Linked DNA regions of Canis lupus familiaris. The protein of the gene in region 1 interacts with the protein of each later gene in a biochemical or structural test. Links are inferred from orthologs where the notes say so. Each region holds a gene or a part of one and is shown in the gene's direction. Other genes may lie near its edges.

The links.
Region 2: the proteins of EVL (region 1) and APBB1 form a complex in vitro, tested with the Homo sapiens proteins (2 studies listed by BioGRID). The link is inferred for Canis lupus familiaris from reciprocal best matches to the Homo sapiens genes EVL and APBB1.

The regions. Positions count from the first base shown.
Region 1 is NC_049229.1:68,757,734-68,768,057, forward strand, and holds the start of EVL (ena/VASP-like protein), read left to right. Parts: upstream 1-5,287; 5' UTR 5,288-5,477; coding exon 5,478-5,500; intron 5,501-10,324. UniProt on the Homo sapiens protein: Ena/VASP proteins are actin-associated proteins involved in a range of processes dependent on cytoskeleton remodeling and cell polarity such as axon guidance and lamellipodial and filopodial dynamics in migrating cells.
Region 2 is NC_049242.1:30,235,288-30,245,511, reverse strand, and holds part of APBB1 (amyloid-beta A4 precursor protein-binding family B member 1), read left to right. Parts: intron 1-3,030; 5' UTR 3,031-3,044; coding exon 3,045-3,765; intron 3,766-5,412; exon of another isoform or gene 5,413-5,616; intron 5,617-7,511; exon of another isoform or gene 7,512-7,672; intron 7,673-7,760; exon of another isoform or gene 7,761-7,780; intron 7,781-8,377; exon of another isoform or gene 8,378-8,401; intron 8,402-9,291; coding exon 9,292-9,470; intron 9,471-9,567; coding exon 9,568-9,624; intron 9,625-9,703; coding exon 9,704-9,789; intron 9,790-9,903; coding exon 9,904-9,967; intron 9,968-10,224. UniProt on the Homo sapiens protein: Transcription coregulator that can have both coactivator and corepressor functions. Adapter protein that forms a transcriptionally active complex with the gamma-secretase-derived amyloid precursor protein (APP) intracellular domain.

The DNA.
Region 1 (10,324 bases):
AGCCCTGGGGTGTGGAGGTAAATATGGGACAAGGTCCTTCCTCTCATGGGGCCTACACTTTTGGTATCTGGTCCTCAGAGGGTGCTTAGTATTTCTGTTGAAGTCCATCTTTGCTTCCTCACTGACCTAAGAACCACATAAAACAATTGCCTTGTGAGAAAAGACTATCTCTGAAACATACCTGCAGTCCATCGATTTGTTTTCTGCTTTTGTGCCCTGCTGTCACCGGAGTCCAGACCCTGCCAGCTTGTACTTGGCAGCTTGTACTGCCATGGCAGCTTCTGACTGGTCTCCCCACTCCCATGATTCTTCTAAAAAACGAAAATCCAGTCATGTTACTCCCTTGCCTAAAACTCCACAGTGGCTTCCCCCTCAGCTGCCAACACCCTGCTGACCCTGTCTGTCCTCATCTCCATTTCTTCTGTTCCTTATTCCTCCGTTCCAGCCACATTGCATGACTGGGTGAAAGCCAGGCTTGTTCCCTCCCACCTCAGCTGATTCTTCTGCTTGCAGTAATCCTTCCTTGAGATTTGCATACCCATCCCCTGGTTGTCTTTCAAATCTGAGCATAAATATCACCCCTGAAGGGGTCTTTCCCATTATGTCTGCTAAATTCAGTAGCTCCCACCACTCCATGGCTCAGTGCCCATCTTTATTCATTTGTGATCTGCCTTCCACCCTTAGACTCAAGCACTGGGAGACAGAGGACGTTGATGTACTCTGCTCTCTCTGCAGCACCTGGAATAGCATCTAGCATAGTAGCCCTCCAGCTGTTTGTTGAGTGAGTGCAAAGATAATCTCCAGTCACCTGGCACATCTAGAGAGCGCTTATTTGCTGAGAGACCAATGTAGACAGGAATGCAGAAGTAATTACCAATGACTCCTACTTTTGAGTAGTGGTAGACTGAAGATACTTGTGTTTTCTCTATAGTAAAATGCTTTGGGGCGGGGGGGGGGGGGTTGCTTTTAGTTTAAATAGAATTCTCAAAATAGGGATGAGGGATGGCTTTATTTAAAACTTTTATTTTAAAGTAAATGTCACTGTAGAAGTTCATTTGAATTTATGTAATTTGGGGGAAAGAAATAGTTCAGCATGTAGGATTCAACATTTCTTATCAGTTGAAGGAAGGGATTTTGTTTTGGGTTTTGTTTTTAATTTTTTTTGGAAAAGTTAATTCAGCTGCAACAAAAGCACATTAAGTGAATTCAACAAGTTGTTTTTTTTTTTTTTTACCAAAGGCCTACTGCATGCCTAGAAATGTTAGTTTTCCCAGATTGTACTGGGCCTGGGAACATCTCCTGTTAATGATAGCATTTGTATTCAGTATCTCCACATTTGTTTCTCTGGGGACTCCTCAGGGAGCTCTCATGGCCAGTCACTGCAGGAGGACAGTGTTCTATGATGACAGCAGGATCCAGGTGGGGGGGGGGGGGGGCTTTTATTCTTAGGATGAGACTAAAAAAAGGGGGTGAGTCCAGATTAACTAGGGTGAGTGTGATGACCCGAGCTCAGAGAGCTCCACCCCATCCAGAATGTCAGATGGGGCTGCCAGTCATTTGAGCCAGGTGTTCTCTGGCTGAGTCTGGCCTGCCCCTGCTGGAGGGAGGGGAAAGCCTGGGGGCAGGGACTGTGGGCTCTTCCACTCCTCCTTCAACCAGAACCCTCTACATGTATCAGCTTTATGTCCCATGTAAGTGACATTTAAAAAAAACAAAAAAAAAAACAAAAGGTTCCATGGCAGGAACAGGCTTTGTCTGAGCCTTGAGTCATCAGTAAATGACCTGGGATGACCTTTCATTTTTTTAACATTCTTTGGTCACTGAAGTGCCTTCCCAGCTTATTCAGAGAGTGGAGCTGTCAGGAGGCACGGACCCTCACTTGTGTCCCTCTTCCTGACACTCTGGTGCTATCAGGGATCAAATGAAGTGCCTAGGGTTTGAAGCCGACTCCGTTCCTAGTCTGGTCCTGTGTCAACCCAGGATCCTAGCCCTTCCTTCCTGCGGCAGCTGAAGCAGGCGGTGCAGACATGCATGCCTGGCCATGACATTCAGGCACTAGCTAGGACTGGCTGGGTAGAGGAACCCCAGACGGTCACTGTGGCCCAGCCCTGTTCTGGAGCTACAGGCTGCCTGGTGGTCTATGGGATCAGCTGTCTCTGGAGGCCGCCAGAGGCGGTAGGATCATTGGTATTGGGACCTGAGAGGGCATGGGGTCTGCAAGCACTGGCATTAAGCCGGCCTGGCTCCAAGTCATTGCTCTGCCATTGGACAGCAGTATGACCTTAGGCAAGTTACTTAACCTCTTTGGCCTGTTTCCTTATTAGTAAATTGGGGAATCTCATAAAATTTTGTCTACCATACATTTGGTGCTGGGATTTGAAGATTTTTCACAAGTTCTCAGCAATTCTGCTTGTACTAGGACCTTATGAATTGCCCTGAGAGGTATAACCAGCATTCCAAGAGGAGATTCTTGTGTTACTGGTGGAAACCAGCCATGAAGTTGAGAGGTGTCTATCCCCTGGGCCTGTGCCACAGTGGACCTGCCTCATGGCCGGGCTAAAGCACATCGGGCCAGTTCTTACAAACGTCTGTAACTCCATGACAAATGTCTAGGAGTTAAGACCACTGCTTCTCTTCCCCATACTTTGCAGATAGTGCCAAGAATGTGGGTTCTGGCCATTAGACCAACTAACACATCTGTCAATCAGAAGTAATTATGGAGTGTCTGCTGTTTACTAGACCTGTCCTTGAGGCTGCAAAGGAGTGGTAACAGAATACTCTAAATCTCCTTTCCCTCAAGAAGATTGTGTCTGGCTGATTACCAGCTGCCCCTACCTCAGCCCATCTATGACTGTACCCAGGTAGTTTAATTTAATAAATAACAACATCATGTAATTGCATTTGGTGTGGGTGAATTGCTTTTTCTAAGATTTGGGTAGTCTTTATTGCTTTTTTTTAACTTAGAATTTAGGATAGTTATCTTATACATATATCCATACATGGTATATATGTGTATGTATACACACACACACACCCCTTGTCCTGAAAATCCTAAGATAGAAATACCTTGACCCCTACCCCTCATGCAGACCAAACACTTCCCTGGGGATGGTGATCTCACAGAGAAGATCGTCCAGCTATCAGCACTGTTCAAGGGGAGGTGGCCTTGTGAAGCGGTAATGATGATGAAGAACCTTCCACAACTTGATGTACTCAACAAGGACCTCTCACAGCTCCCCGGTGCTACCCTGTGGGGTCGCGACAGCTGTCCTGTGAGAGGCCTAGGCAGCATCTGCGTTATTCCAACTGTTTGTGCAGGGAGCAGGGCGCGGACAGCTCGAGTCGCCTGTCAGTGATCATGGAGTCAGGAAGTGGCAGATCTGGGACGTGAACTCGGTTATTTAAGGACTCTGTATCTCTTGTGTTTTCTGTTGTATCGTGATGCTGCCAAGAAGCTGCTGTCACTGAAGGGTCCCTTGCAAAGACTTGTCAGGAATACTGGGCAGGGCATTCCGGATCGGCTCAGTTGATGATTGCTGCATGGTTTGAGGGATCCTAGGATTCCCCCTAATTGTCCTCACTAGTCAGCCTGCCGCTACCACTTCATTTCTTTGAGTTGGGCTCTGGACTCTGGCTGCCCTTCAAGGTAGAGAGAACACGGGGAGGAGCACAGTCATCCCAGAGCACCTGCATGTGTGGATACCTGTATCCCAGAGGCAGAGGCAAAAGGAGGTTCCTGCCCTGGACCTTTACTGAATGGCTTCTCTTTGTCCAGCTCTGTGCCAGGCTCTGGGAATGCACGTCACTGCCCTACGGGCCTCAGGGATGTGTGGGGCAGGCGGAGTGCTATGCCATGGCTCAGTGGCAGTGGCTGACTGTCCTGGGGGTAGTGCAGGCTCCTGGGGGCAGAGCCTTGCGTGAGAGGACACACGTCACACACGAAACAAGGAATAATCTGGGCCAGTTGCCTCATGGACCAAAGGAAGGAGGTCCTAGCATATCTGGGGACCTGGAATGTCTGGCTGAATTTGGGGGTTTGTGAAGAGTTTTGATGGAAGAAAGAGTGGGAGAAATAAGACTTTCTTTGCAGGGCTGAGGCATTTTTGCATAATCCCATGGGTACCAAGGAACTACTGCAGGGTTGGAAAGGGCGGAGGCAGCAGAATCAGATTTAGAAAATGGCTTGGGCTGATTTTTTAGAGAAGGACTGTGAGGAAGACCGGTTATAAGGTGCAAGGCCGCCTGAGAAGTGCTAAGGGCCTGGGATGGTAGGGGCTGGACTCAAAGAAACCTCTTGGAGGTACAATCAGAATTAGCGACTGATTGTTCCTGTGTTGTGAGGGAGTAAGAAACTCAAGAGTGACTCACAGGTTTTTATTTGAGATCTGTCTCCCTTATTTTATAAAGATTTGCGCTCTAAATGCTGAAGATCTCCATAATGGCAAGTTTCAGAATACAGCCAAATCTTGCCAGCTTGGGCTTTACAAACCGGTAAACATCTTTCTTTCTTTCTTTCTTTCTTTCTTTCTTTCTTTCTTTCTTTCTTTCTTTCTTTCTTTCTTTCTTTCTTTCTTTCTTTCTTTCCTTCCTTCTTTTCTTTCTTTTCTTTCTTTCTTTCTTTCTTTCTTTCTTTCTTTCTTTCTTTCTTTCTTTCTTTCTTCTCTGACGTCTCTTTTCCTTTTTCTTAACTTCTGTTCTGAAATTGTTATGGTAATTTTTGTACCTCAAGGAATTGATAAGAGCCTGGTACACACTAGACACTCAATAAATGAATAGTTAAGTAAATGAGATCAGTCATCACAGTTGACCTAGAAGGTCATGTTGTTCATGGTAAAGTGGTAAGTATAGAATGTGACTTCTGTGGTTCTGAAGCAGTTTATGCATTTGTGCTGAACAAATGCTCAATAGTGGAATTCTGCGGAATTTTCAGTAACATGAGTAACACTCTGTCCTGTTCACTGACCACACTGGCCATACCTGATGGTGACAGCAGCAGCCACCCAAGATGGGGTAATGGGCAGGTCACCGTGGAGCTGGTGACATTCCTTTAGGCCTTGGCCTCCCATTTCCCAACCTGCAAATTTCTGGCTGGGTGTGTGTGGGGGGTGGGGGGGTGGGGTGGGGAACGTATATGTGATTCACCCAGGATGCCAGGCATGCCCAGGGGTTCGACTTATTTCTCTGGGCTAATCCAGTTCCCAGCCTGGAGCCTAAGCATACACTGCATTAATCAGACTTGCTGGAATGATCACATGGTCCTCTAGCTGCCTCCCCTGTTAGCTGCCGCTTGTCAGCAGCTGGCGGAGCTGGAGGCTGCAGGCCCCTGTCTGCAGAAAGCCTTTTACTTCAGAATATTGGGGGGGTGTGGAAACCCCGCCTCTTTTTTCTGCACTTTGCACCATCTGACTGACTAAATGGTTGTCCTCCGAACCAAAAAGGCTACCAGACAATCTAAGGAAATTGTCTCTGACTAGGTCATGTTTGCATTTGAAGAATTCAGGTACGTTCTGGGCTTCCTACATCAGTCTGCTGCTGGGTTTTTGTTCTCGCTAGGTTTTTGCTGTGTAATGACAGCTTAGGCTCTAGCTGGTTCTCACCCAAAAAAGGGTTCTTTTCTGCATTTGGTGGGGTCGATCTCGGTTTTGGGGGTGGGAAGCAGAGAGGTGGTGCAGGTCGAGGGTGTTTACTGCATGCACAAGTGCAGCGTGGATAATTGGTTTGATCGTGTGTAAATTTGCTGAGGACCCCACCTTGTGCCTCATTCGAGCTGCTGTGGCTGGTGTAGAGTTATGAATGCAGAATAGCAACTGTTTATCTAGAATGAGTCTCTTGCTATCTTTTGTTTTTCTTCCTTTGTCAAACTCACGGAGTCTAGTGCTCTTTTAAAAAAAATGCTAATCGTAGCAGTGAAGGTGAAAAATTCTGTAAGTCTGCCTGCTTAGTTGAGATTTGATTTTGGCTCTGATTTTTTTCCTCATTGTTAATAGTAATCTTGTGCCTGGGCAGTTTCCTGGGAAGTGCCCTGATGGTGTTTTGTTACAGGGTCCTTCTCTGCTTTCGTTAGCTCTTCAGCTGCTGTAATTATCAATGCTCCAAATTAGTCTTTTGTGAATCTTATTCCTTCTCTTTCCTCCATCTCCTCTCCACGGATCTGTCTCTGGGTATGAATGTGGGAAGGGATGTTCCAACGGAGATAGTTTCTAAGAAATGAAAATAAAGGAGGCGGAATGGGAGGGTGATCTGATCATTCGTGTGCATATTTCCACCTTTTGGAACATATGGAAGAGAGTGTGTATGTGTGTGTCTGCTCCTAACCTCCGGCAGCCTCTCGTTTCTCAAATGGAATTTCGGTATATTTTAGAACAGAGTGTAAATACCATATCGATTGGCAAGGGGGTGATTGTGTGGGGACCTCAGTTCTGTCTCTACAGGCCTTTTTTGTTCCCTCCGAAGAACGGTGCTGCAATAGACATTAAAATGATAATAGAATAACCACCTTTCATTATTTCTAGAAAGAAATTAGAGACCTTTTAAGCAAAATCAAGGGAGTAGATGAGAGGATCCCCAGATCTGCATGAAGAAAAGCAGGCTATAAAGATTGTCCCTCGCCCTTCCTGTAAACTTGGAGCTTTGGATCTAGGAAGTTATCCTTTGTTTAAGAGAGTGTCTCTGCATGATTTCTAATGGACCGGGCTTATGAAAAGGACATTCTTTCCTTGTGGCAGTATGCTCTGGTGACATGGGCCCGTGCCCTTATACAATGACCAGGACTTACTGTTTTATTTTAGCTTGATTAGATAACTAACAGGAATTTGTTTTATGCTTGATGTGTTACAGTAGATAGGTCCATAGAGAGGGAGTTGGGAGTCCCGGGTTCTAATCCCAATTTGAAAATTAGCTTTTCTGATCCGTCTGAGAAAGGAGTTTTGGGGATTGTAGAAAGTAATATAGTTGTGAGGTTCATATCTTATTGTAAGCATTTATTCTAGATGGAGTAAGCCTTAACTAATTGTCTTGAGCAGAGTGTGGAGCTGTTCACCTCCTTTCCCAGTTAGGCAAGAGGGATAAGTATCAACAAGCCTGTTCCCACTTTGGTGAGCTCCTAGCCCACAGACTGGGTCTGATGAGTGGGAAGGGGGTCAGGTTGAAGGCCACTGCAGTGCCGAACAGAGAAAGTGGGGCCAGCTGCAGAAAGTAGACCAGAAAGGGGAAGTCTGTTACCTATGCTTCCAGCTTTCCCTAAGCTGGTCCTCAAGAACTTTGTTGGGAATGATTGCATTTTGTGACTGCTGCATGTGCTGGACAAATCGCTTTCTTCTTTAGTCCTGGGATTTACATGTGTGGAGGCCAAGTGATCATGATGGGCCCACACAGGCACTCTCAGGGAGCTAGCCTGGTCAGTGTAGGTCAGTGTAGGTCAGGGTGGTGCTCAAGCTGTAGCCTTCAGTAGAATCACCTGGAATGTCCAGGAAAGCCCAGATTGCAGGCCCCACTCCCAGAGGCTCAGATCCAGTAGGTCTGGGGTTGGCTTGAGGTTCTGCATTTCTAGCAAGTCCACAGGTGATTCTGATGCTGTAGGTCTGGAGACCAGACTTTCAGAACCATGGGCTTGGAGAAAACCGACAGACTGTCATTATGGAGATGGGAAGTTGGAGGCAAAGGCAAGGGGGTACAGGCAGGAAAGAAATCCAGAGCCAGAAGCTGTAGTTCAAGTTCAGGCAGGTGGACCAGAAGCAACGTGGGAGGTTAAACTATAGCCATGATCACTCACCCCAACAGCCCCTCCTCCTGGGGACGGGTGAGGGTAGGGGCATCGGTTTATAACCCAGGTTCTCCCATGTGTGGCTTGTGGGGACTTGGCAAGTTTCTTGATCTTCTTTTAGTCTCAATTTTCTGTATGAATTTTCTGTAAGAAAGTCTAGAATGCTATTAGAATTAAATGAGATGACATGAACTTACTTTATACATTATATCGTTCTTTCTACATGAGCATACTGGCAGAGGACCCGGGTCAGCGCCATCAGCCTCTGCACACGTGTTCACAGGCCCATGAGTGCACAAACTCCTCCATGCACACACCCCAACCGCGAGAGCACAAGGGCCACATTCATTTTAAAAAGAAGTCTGATTTTAACATGGACAGAGTTCCTTGAGAGCTTCCAGGTCTCCTGGGTTTTTAACTTTGTCTCCCTTTGTGCCTAAAACTGTTTGACACACAGTAAGGCCTTAATAGGTAAGCAGTTGACAGAGTTTGTTTTCAGGGGATTTAATAAGGGAGGAAAAACAAGCAAGCTAGCTTGGTGCAGGCCTGATATTGGTACCAGGGTGCCCGTTGAGTGGGCTACTTCAGAAGAGCATGTCGAAAAGCTGACAGCTGACCTCTTGAGAAAAATGTGAAGTGTCCTCAGCACACCCCAGTTGCGGGAGTGCCGGAGAACGCCGATCACATTTCATAAGGAATCTCTGCAGATGATCTCACTCTAGAACGTGCTGACGATTGTAATGATTTGCCGGGGCCAAACCCACACAGTTGCAGAATCCTGAGAGCTTGAGTAGTTGGGCCAGCATTTTCCAGACAGCTAGGGTATTTATTTTGCCTGCCATTGACTTCAGGACTGTATTGTTCTAGCACCAGGCAAGCTATTCTGCTGGCTGTTGTGGTAGACCCACTTCACCTCTGTTTTTACCTTTTCAAAAAAACTTCTTACATGAGAAGTGTACTGAATTCATAGTTTAGTAAACATTTAGTTACTCCATACCTCAGAGGCTGCCTTCTGAGCACCCCTGGAGACAGCTTCATGGGACACTGTGTGGTTTTCCTTCCCCTTCTAGACCCAGAATGGTGACTACATTCCCTGCCATCCCCAGAATCAACATTTTTAAATGTGATTTTTGGCTCTATGATCTCACAAGGGAGAATGGAACCCAAATCAGAATCCACTGTTTCTCAGGATTCCTGATACTTATTCTGATTTATTTCTAGAAGGAATGTGGCATACCAACTCCAAGATCTAAAATCCACAGTTGGAATGTGTCAGTCACATGAAAATGAGAAGTCACTACTCCGAGTCTGTTTTATTTTATTTTTAAATAAAATTGAGGTTCAAACTCCAGCTAGTTCTTTCTTTATTCAGATTTACATTTACTCTTGGGAAAAGTTTTAACTTTCCTTTCTCTTTCACTGGATTATGGAAATAAGTCAAAATGAGTGGTATGAGGGAAGACCTGAAGTTTGGAAGCCAGGACAGCCCACCCAATGTCGAGCCCACCCAGTGTCGAGCCCCTTGCATTTCCTGAGCCCTGTGGTCCCTTGAAGAGAGAGGTGTTTAGGTACAGTGACTGTCACACTGCAGTGAGCAAGCTTGCTTGCTCATCAATAGGAGATGGGGGATGGGGAAGGCACAAGACTGGATAGTTGTGGCCCACGCACCACTAGTTGCTTAGCCCATGGTTACCCCAAGCCACATACCATCAATGACGACAGGAGCTCAGGGATACAGATGACCCCAAAATGTATACCTCCCACCCCAGCCTTTCCCCAGACTGGTCCCATGTCTTCAGCTGCCTGGTTGGCGTTGCTGTCTGGAAGTCTACCAGGCATCTCAAACTTAGCACATCTCACACTGTTCCCCAGTTCTTTCCTAAGCCATTCCTTCCTCACGTGTCCACAGCCTGGCCTTCCTTTTGGCTGCTCAGCCATCCCTGACTCCTTTCTTTCTCCTACGCTCCATGTCTGAGCCATCAAGGGGAGTTCTGTCAGCTGTACCTCAAAGTATGCCCAGAGTCCCACCATTTCCCAGCATCTCCATGCCACCAGCCTGGTCCATGCTGACACCATCTCGTATCCAACTCAGCGCAGTGGCCTTGTAACCGGCCTCCCAGCATCCTGTCTGCCTTGTCTTCCTGCTCCCGGTTCTTCACTTGTTTCTCTTCTTAAAATGTCAGGGCAAGTTTTATTAGTCCTGTGCTCAGAACCTTCCAATGGCTTCCCGCCTGCCTGCACATGCCCCAGCTCTTGGGGAATCTTGAAAGGGTCTGCTCAGCCTGGCCCTGCTGCTGCCACCATATTCCATCTCCAACAGAGTCCTGTGTCCTTCACGCCCGCCCTCTGTCACACTGGCCTCGTACTGTTCTTGAGCACACCAGGCATCCCCTCCCCCGGCCTCTGCCTCCAGATGCCCACGTGGTTTGCTTCCTCATTTCCTGGCTCTTTGCTCAGCTGTGGCCCTGACCTCTCTTGGGGTATTCCCTTTCCCCCTGACTCTGCTTTATTTTTTCATCAGATCACATACTGCCGTCTATATACTGTGGATTTGAATTTTAT
Region 2 (10,224 bases), on another chromosome or scaffold:
CCTTTCCCAGATCACACCTCCAAGTGCTAAGGAGGTCAATACCATCCTGACCTCTTAAAAACCTGGCTCCATACACTGCTGCTTCAGAGAAGGACTCATCGTCTCTGTGATCCTCTCAGCTTGCCATAGTCACAGGGTCTTCACATCCTGAAACTCAATGGGGATGCCACTGTGGAACAGCCTTCAAGTCAAGACGTCAGTGTACACTAATTCCCTCCCTCCCTTTGTCCCAGATCTTGGTCCTTACTGCTCTGGGACCTCCTGCCTTCTCAGGTACCCTTCATCATTCTCCAGCAGCCTCTCTAATACTCCTATTGCCCACTTGCAGCCCATGGGGCCGCACAGGTTTGTCTCAGTGTCTGCTCCCACTAGTCTCAGCCTCCAAATCCCTCTTACCCCCTGAGAGCACCTCAGGGTAGCTCTCAGCTCTGGGCACACGTTGTCTGTTCCCTCCATCCTTCCCTTCTGTCCACATCGAGGCTCCACTGTGTGGCACACACACCACGCACACTCCTTGGTAATGGGAATGTGAAGTCGAATAAGACAGTCTCGGGTGTTTGGAGGGAATGGGGCATTGGGTATCATGAGACATGGAGGAGGGAATGGTCCCCTGAGCAAAAAAGAGAGAAAACGGAACAGGAAAGCCTCACTGCTCAGAAGCTGTGCCTGCCAAGCCAAGTTTTGAAACATGAGCAGAGGTTCTCACTCAGGGAGACAGGATTCCAAGCGGGGGGAGCACTGTAAACAAAGAGCCAGGGCTGTCAGGGTGTGACATGTTCTAGAATCTGCCATATTTTGTGAAGCTGGAATGTAAAGTGTGAAAGAGGCAGGGAAGGGGGAGGAGGTCTGAGAGGTCATAGGGATTGGCTCAAGGAGGCTCTCGGTGTCCTGCTAGTGAGCACAGATCTTATTCTGAAGGTAGCAGTGAGCCATCTAAATTTTCCAACTGGGGAGTGACACAATCTGGTTTCCATTTTTGGAAGATTACTGTGGTTCTAGGTAGTGGCAGAGCTGTTTATTTTTCTTGTTTATGCCAGTGACCATGAGTTTGCTTATTACCCAGGTGGAGCCACACCAGGCAGATCTGCAGTTCCACATGAGGCAGACACACAGGAACATTTTTTCATCCAGGTCACGGAAGTGTGCACAGTGTTGTGCTAGGGTTTGAGGAGCTAGGCATGATGGAAAAGCAAACTATGGCTCCTGCCCCAGGACCATGTGCTGTACCTGAGGCACAGCAGAGCCTTGGTCAGACAGCCTAAAGCACCTCACTGGCAATGTGTGCTCAGAGCTGAGAGCTACCCCGAGGTGCAGGGAGAACCAGGACAGGGGGTCAGGGGAGATGGAACTCTTCAGTGGGGGCTAGGGGGGAGAGAGAACGCTCAGGTGAGAAATGGGGGAGAAAGAACCACACGGTGGGAGTCAGAGAGAGAGGTATGCAGTGAGGGGCAGCCAGTGAGACAGAGTGGTGTGCTGAAGAGAAGGGTTGAGGAGGAAGAGAGGACTCAGAGAGGGGATGGGACAAGTGGAAGGCGACACGGAGCTAAGAGGGCCAGGATGAGAAAGACTTGGTCAGGGAGGATGGCCTGTGAGGTGGTGACAGTGAGGGTCCAGGGAGTAAGCACTTTACAGTGACAGTCAGGGAAGGAGGACACTAGAGCAGTAGAAGGTGAGGATGGAAGGAGGCCTTGATGGGATCACTGGGTAAGGATATTTAGGCAGTGAAGGTGTTCCACAAAGGGGTTGTAATGAGAGAGGGGCCAAGGGGCAGGAAGTTGGGGAGGGCTGTCACTGTGGAACAGGAGATCCCCTCACCTGCAGCAGATGGGATTTGTTTGGGCCACCACGAGTAGTGGTTGAGACACAGTGACATGACCAAAATGTGTTTCCTGCAACTGGCAGAGGAGATGCTAAAATCGGGCCTGGAGGAGATAGGAGAGCAGACTTACACATTCATTCAACAAATATTTATTGAATTCCTGTTCTGTGCCAGGGTTTGTTACGGTCTAGGCATATTGTATTGAAAAGAAAAAAAAAAAAAAAGACAAAATCTTCCACCATGGAACTGAAATTGCAGTCATGGGGAGACAATGATTAAACAAATAGTGGTAATAATATTGATAAATAGCTTGACAGATGGTGCTAGGCACTAGGGAAGGTTTGCGTGTTGCTGAGAGAGGGCATGGTGGCTTGCAGTTTTAAAAGGGTGTCAGGGAAAGCCTCACTGAGAAGATGACATTTGGATCAAGACATAAAGGGCTGGAGAGTACAGGTCAAAAGCTCCTGTTGATTGAGGCATGAGGCATTATAGGGCCTGGCAGGTGGAGTGGTGTCCAAAGTAAGATACTTTATAGTAACAGTCATCAAGATGTAGCTTCAACTGGCCAATTCAATTCACGAATTGAGGCTGAAGGTCTTTCCTTTGTGACCTTCCTTCCCAGGTCCACGCCCTTGATGGTCTACAGCTCATTCTCTCCTATTCTCACAGTCCCTAGTAGGCCTGGGCTTAGGGGCTGGTTGTGATAGGAACACTGCCTAGGGAGCTCACAGTAGGAAGTTGTGGATAGCAACGTGGCAAGAGGAAGAGGGCAGTCAGTGTCCAGTCCCAGAACACATGAGCCAGTCCCACACCAGCTGGGTCCCTGGCACAGTAAGCCCCGGTCAGATAAGTGGGGGTGGGGATGCACAGAGAGCCATTGTGTGGAAGCTCTGCTGTTGGGATTGAAGGCAAAGCAGGGGCTGGCTGTGCTGTCTCAGAAAGCTCAGGGCTGGGGATTTGGGGCTGGGGTGGATTGTAGGCCTGGCCCTAGCCTTTGGTGGAGATGGTGGTTGAGTGGGTGGTGGTGTGGGGGGACAGGAGTTGAGCCTAGTCATTGTCATGGGAAAATAGCTCTCAGGATACAGCAGTGGGTGCTAGTCTGCTGAGCATAAGGGAGATGACGAGGTACGGAGCACAGCCCCAGGCAGAAGCAGGGGTGCTGCTGTCTTGACCTGGAGGCTCAACCACAGTCTCCTATCCTCACCCCACAGGATCTGCCAAGGCCATGTCTGTTCCATCGTCACTGAGCCAGTCGGCCATTAATGCCAACAGCCACGGAGGCCCTGCCCTGAGCCTACCCCTGCCCCTGCACACTGCCCACAACCAGCTGCTCAACTCCAAGCTGCAGGCTACGGCTGTGGGACCCAAGGACCTGCGCAGTGCCATGGGGGAGGGTGGTGGGCCTGAGCCAGGCCCTGCCAATGCCAAATGGCTAAAAGAGGGCCAGAACCAGCTCCGGCGGGCTGCCACAGCCCATCGTGACCAGAACCGCAACGTGACCTTGACCCTGGCAGAGGAGGCCAGTCAGGAGCCTGAGATGGCACCCTTGGGCCCCAAAGGCCTGATGCACCTGTACTCTGAGCTGGAGCTCTCCGCCCACAATGCAGCCAACAGAGGGCTCCGAGGATCTGGCCTGATCATCAGCACCCAAGAGCACGGGCCAGATGAAGGAGAGGAGAAGGCGGCAGGGGAGGCTGAGGAGGATGATGAGGAAGAGGACGAAGAGGAGGAGGAGGAGGACTTGTCTTCTCCCCAAGGGCTGCCCGAGCCCCCGGAGAGTGTGGAGGTGCCCCCCAGACCCCAGGCCCTTGCAGACGGTCCCCGAGAACACAGCAAGAGTGCCAGCCTCCTGTTTGGCATGCGGAACAGTGCAGCCAGTGATGAGGACTCCAGCTGGGCTACCTTATCCCAGGGCAGCCCCTCCTACGGCTCCCCAGAGGACACAGGTACTTTATGGAGCTTGACATGGGGGATCCGGGAGGGCAAGTGGACAGGGGTCAGGCCTCTCCAAATCAATGTCAGGGCCAGCCCAGACATGAGCCACAGAGCTGGTGTCCTAATAGTCCTCAGCAGGCCATATCCAGGTTTTCCTGGATGAAACCATTCCTGATATTCAGAGTGTTTGCACAAGTTGCTAGGTTCATCCATCATGCACACACTGATGGACGGTGGACTTAGGTGCATTTATGGAGCACTTACCAGGTACTGCCCTATGCTTATTATTAATTGTATTCCATCCTCACAGTCATACTGTGAGTTAGATGCTCTTATGATGCCCATACATCATACATAGTAGGCCTGGAGAGGTTAAGTAGCTTTTCCAAGCCACAGACAGTCTGGGATCATAGTAGAACTGAGTCTAGACCTGAGCTCTTGTCCTTGCCTATCCTGCCACTGATGCACACAGCACGATGAGCCAGATGAGCTGACTTAAGTCAGCTTTTAACAGGCCAGATCTGGAGGCAACAGCAGCACCTCCCCACAGATGTCTACTTGGAAAGACTGAGGTCGGTTGTGTGCAGAGCACTACTCTGGGCTTTGTAAGGATACCGTTTTGTATTCTTTGTATCAGGAATAGAATACTAACTAAAAATTAGGAAATAAAAGAAGAAAGAATGAATATATCCATCTTTGTGGGGTGGGCAAGAGGGGACAATAGGTATTGGACTCCAAGGACTGATCATTAAATGTGTCCCATTTAAATAAATTGAATTTCCGTATTTCCTGATGTCACATAGAGATGCAGACAGAGCTGAGCAACAGAGGACAGAGATAATGGGTTGTAGCTACAAGCCCAGAGTTTTCTGGATTGGAAGATAAGTAAAGATTAGGAAAGACTCGGGTGGGCACCTGGCAGCAGGCACCATACCAGACCCCAAACTGTGGAGCCTTTGCAGGGGAGCATGTAGTTCATGCAGGTGAGCCAAAGGCAGTACAGCATCCCCTTTCCAAAAACTTAACATGGATATTTTCAAACATCTAGAAAAGTAGAGAGAATAGAATAATGAGCCCAATTTATCCATGACTCCATTTTAATAGTGACCAACACATGACTAATTTTGCTGCATCTATACCCTGACCTACTCTTGGGTCCTAGCCTATTTCAAAGCAGACACTCAAATCCATAAGTGTTTGTTTACTCATGCATTTCTAAACAACAAAATTCTTCTAAAAATTTTCACAAAACCATTATCATTAGTACAAAAATTCAGCAATAACTTCTTAATATTATCAAATATCCAGTCAATGTTTATAATTTCCTAATTGTTTAATAAATGACCGCCCCCCCCCACACACACACACATCCTGCTATTTAAAGTTTTGATTATTTGGATCAATAACCAGTTAGTTGGAGACCTTTCCATGGTGGATGTGTATCTTAAAGTTTCTTTGGGTCTGTATGTCATGCTTCCATTCCTCCGTCTGTCTCTCTTTATTTTTGCTTGCAGAGTGTTGTTTTAAATTAGAGACACAGTGTTATTTATCTTGGGTTTTCCAGAGTCTGGATTTGTAGACTCTCCCTGTGGTGGCATTGAGCAGGTTTCTCTTCCCCTAGATTTCCTGCAGATTTGGTAGTGAGTTCTAGAGCCTTGATCAGATTTGGATTTGAGAGGTTTTTTTTTGTGTGTGTGTGTGTGTGTGTTGCTTTTGCAAGAACGTTTCATAGGTGGTATTGAGTACTTTTATCAAAGGCAAAGTCTGGTTGCTTCTCTTTTCTGTGATGTTAGTAGCCTTCGATGGTCATTGTTTGGACCTCCTTTTAAAGGAGCAGCTGCTACTTCATTCCAGCTGGTTATCTATAGGGTTGCATGGGGGGGAAATGTCATCCAGTCAGTTCATGCCACTTTTCAAGGAAAACCAAAAACTGGACATTGATGTGAAATAGCCCAATTTCTAAATGTTAGCAGCCAGTTCTGTTTTTTTACAAAGTACCATGCAGGCCACACAAAATCTGAGTCTTGTATTTGTCTGTAGGTTGCTAGTTTGGAACTTCTGCCCTAGCTGTGGGGTATGAGACAGAGGCCAGATACTGGAGAGCCTGATTGGTCCAGGGGCTGCTGGGGTGGTCGCTGTAGTAGCTGCACATGTGAGCCGTCTGGGAGAAGGAGACCAGAACTGCCAAAGAAGTGGGAAGGGCCTGCTGGGCACAGGCATCAACCTCAGCGAGAGAGGACAGCCAAGGATCAAGCTCTGGTGGAGGCTATGGAAAGTGGAGGGAGTGGGGTGGGGCCAGCCTCGGAAAGGGTTGAGTCACTGCTTACTCTTTTGTAATTGTGGTGCTGTGATCATGAAGGCCATGGAGGAGGTCTGGGTTCCTGTAGGAATGGAGTAGCATTGGGCAAAAGTTATTTTGTCCTTCCCAGCCTAGGATCTCCACAGAGTTGTTGATTGAATAAATGAATGAATGGAAGAGTGAATGAACTTTACTACCTGTGTTGAGTTCATACTCAGTGCCAGACCTTGTCCTAAATGCTGAGAAGGCATAGCACAAGGGACAGAGGTTCCTGTCCTCATGGCGCTCACAGTCTAGGGGGTACAGAGAGAGACGGGCAGCTCTGATCCGCATGGTGAGCACTGGGATGGAAGATGTGCAGGAGGGCACTCAGCCTGTGTGCATGGGGGTGAGGGGGTGGGTCAGTTTTGATATGTGACCTTTACATGCAGGCCTGAAGAAGGAGTGGGTGATAGTTAGGTGAAACCTGAGGGAAGGAGGCTGGGCTTGTAGAGGATGAGGGGCATGAAGAGCAGGGAGAGAGAGACAAGGGGCGTGGGGGCTGGTGATCAGAAATAAGGCTCGAAGGCAGAAGGTTAGAGGCTCATAACAGCACACACACCCCGGGAGGAGTTTGAGTTCTATCCTGAGGGCAAGAGAAAATAATTAAGATTACTAAGGTAGAGAATAGTTCAGCATTTTGAAACAATCATGTGGGCTGTAGCGTGCAGTCCACATTGGAGGAGACTAGGCTGGAGGAGGGAGCCCACCTGTGAGGCTGTTGCTGTGATCCAGGTAAGAATTCCAGGTAAAAGGGAGAAGCTTGAACTACTGTAGTGACATGGGGATGGAGAAGAGGAAAGAGCATTATGTGACTCACTGACTCCCGAGCAAATGGCTATACCTGTTTCACCATGACGGCATGCACAGATGAATGAATGATGCACAAACCTTTGAATTCGTGCGTCAGTGCCTGAATGAGTCGATGCAGGAGTGAAGATGTACATTCCTGAATAAATGTGTGCATGTGGCGTGGCAAAGGCCTTAGTGGGGCTGTGCTTGGAGGGAGATGTGCCAGGCTCCAGAAGGGCCTCCCAGATGGTCAGAGGGGGAGAGCAGCCCGCCCCTCCAGGACAGATCGGAAGGATGAAGCTCTTTGAAGCAGGAAGGTACAGGCTAACAGGGATGGCAGATGGATTGGTGTGTGACTCAGTCAGAAGATGGTGAATTGGTCCCCAGATTCAAGAGGTGTGTGACCCTTCATGAAGAAGGGTATGTCTGTGGAGGGCACGGTTGCTCTTGCTGTTGGTGCTCCTGAAAGGTTCCACAGGAGAGCCCGGAAGGCACTGGAGGGTCCCTGGGGAAGAGCAGGCATTTTAATTCCCTGGGGTCTGAGATGAAGGCAGGGTGGAGAGAGAAGAGGTGATAATGGCTACCTAGAAGGCTGAACAGGCAAGAGCCCCTCCTCCATGGGCCTACCTCATTTGCAAACAGGGTGGTGAGGAATCTTGCTTGCATCAGGTGTGCGGCCACCTTGGGTGACCACACCTGCTCCCAGCCCCTCTGTGTGCCTGGTTGCCCAGCAGCCTGGGTCTGGGGACTGCCTGTATCCTCAGTGCTGCCTCTTGGACCAGTCAGGATTCCTGGTTTCCCTGGTAACGGGAAGCACGTCAGCAGTCTGGGCGCTCCCAACCGTCCTGGTGCTGCGGTTGCCGAGGAGACGCTGCAGCCTAGCTGGGCCCTGGCAGGTGAGGGGGGCTGTGCAGGGAAGCCCCAAGCCCAGCCTCAAGCTTGCTGGGGCCCAGCCTTCAAGGCCCACTTTTGGGCTCAAACTGCAGGGCAGGTCCTGGGCAGGGGAGGGATCCCCGGGAGCTCTGAAGCCACACCCTTTTTGTGCTGAGAGCTAGTCTTTGCAGGGCCCCAGGTGGCTGAGGTATTCCTGAGGGGCTGAGTTTCCTGGTGTCCTCCAGACTAGGTTTGACTGTGGCACTCTGATGCCCATTACGGGGTGGGATGGAGATTCAGAATTGGGGGAGGGGAGTCAGGATTAGAAAGAAGAAATGTGGGCAGGAAGGGCTAGGGTCTTATGAGGACCCTCTATTCCCCCCCCCCCACGGAGGTCCCATGGTGGTCCTGGCCCCTCCTTAGTGAGCGCCAGGCGGGGGAGGATCTTGCCTGGCAGGCGCTCTGCCCTGGTGAGAAGGGGGCGGGATGAGCTTTTCTCTGCAGCCCAGCACCAGGCTGTGAGCCCAGCTGGCTGGGCTGGAGGGGCTGTGAGGAGGGAGGGTGGAGGCAGGAGGGGCTGGGAACCAGCGCCATGTTCTCCCAGGACTTTTTCCTGGCCATCATCCTTCAGGACAGCAGCCCAGGTGAGGGGTAGCATGAGGCTGGGCAGAATATGAGGTGGGGCTGGGTAGGGAGGAGAGGCAGAGGAGGCATAAGCTGGGTTACAGGGCTGGAGTGGTGTGGCTCTGCTGGAAGAAGAGGGGTGTATGTCACAGGTATACGTGCATGTGCATAAGACGTTTGCCTGCATCTGTGTGTGGCAGGGGTCAAGGTGTGAGTGTGTGTGGTATCTGCACACACGAGGCAGAGGTTGACTGAGTGTGCATTCACTATCTGTGTGGTACCCACACATGTGTTGGGGGTTGTTGTGGGTGTGGTCTCTGCACACATGTGGTAGGAGCTGATACATATAACCGTGTGTGTGCATACCTCTGTATGGTGACTTCGTTAAGGTATGGCTGGAGTTGGGTTGTATGTGTGTTTGCCCCTGCACATGTGTGTGCACCTGTGATACCCACCGTCTCTGCTGGTATTTTCTGTGTGTGTACACCCTTGTGTTTGTGGTGGCTGCACAGGTGTGTAGTAGGGCTTATATGTGTTGTGTGTTTGAGTGCACGTGTGTGTGCAAGAGCTGACAAGTGTGTGTGTGCCTGAGATATGGGCATATATGATAGGAGGTCAGTTAGGGTCACCCAGCCTCCTTCTCCTCTCTCTGTCTTCCTCCTTCCCTCTATGTGGGCACATTAGCCAGGAGCAGGGTCCAGGAGGAGACCTGAGTCATGTCCCCTGCTGGTGGTCCCCCATGTTGTGGCTCCCGACTGCAAGCTCTCGGAGGAAGCAGGAACTTTGTGCTGGAACCCTTCCCCCATCCCTTCCTGTCCACCATGGGATCTCCACGAGGGGATTGGCATAAGTACCTACTGTATGCTTGTTGGGTGGGTAGACCCTCATCAGTCCCCCCCAACCCACCCAGCAGATTCCTTCTGGAACCCCAACGCCTTCGAGACGGATTCCGACCTGCCAGCTGGATGGATGAGGGTCCAGGATACCTCAGGGACCTACTACTGGCACATCCCAACAGGGACCACCCAGTGGGAGCCCCCAGGCCGGGCCTCTCCCTCACAGGGGAGCAGCCCCCAAGAGGAGTCTCAGGTAAGCTCACAGGCCTGTTGTTTTTTGTACAGGGGTGGAGGGGTGTTGCTGCCAGAACAAGATAAGCTACCCACTTATTGCTCCTCCCTCTTCATAGCTCACTTGGACAGGCTTTGCCCATAGAGAAGGCTTTGAGGATGGAGAATTTTGGAAGGTGAGGGGACCTGCTCTACAATGGGGGAGCTGGAGAAGGGGCATCATTTTGGTCCTGACTCCTCTCTCCCCTTTCCAAGGATGAACCCAGTGAGGAGGCTCCTATGGATTTGGGACTGAAGGACACTGAGGAGGGGGCATTGCCCTTCCCAGCTCAGAGCCTCAGGTGAGTGGGAAGGCATGATACAGTGGGCTGGCAGGGGGATAGACCTCTCTGGGAGGGGCATTAGGACAGCTCCACGTTTGAGCATCTGTACCAAATGTTACCATATTCCTCCAGCCCAGAGCCATTACCCCAAGAGGAGGAGAAGCTGCCCCCACGGAATGCCAACCCAGGGATCAAGGTTTGTTTAAGACCAATGCCTATTCCTCAGGCTGGGGCTCCTCTATGTGCAGGAGACCCCCTGTGTCATGTTCTGGGGGGCATCTCTGGTCTCAGTAAGCTCTCCAGGTCCTGAGTTAGGAGTTTTTCCAGTCTTAGCATAGATCCCTGTTTCTGAGCCAGAGGCACATCAGTGTTTCACTCAAGCAGCCCAGTGGCTTGGCAGGGGCTCCATCCAGGCTTGACTCAGATGCTTCCTTGTGCTGGCAGGGGTCTCCT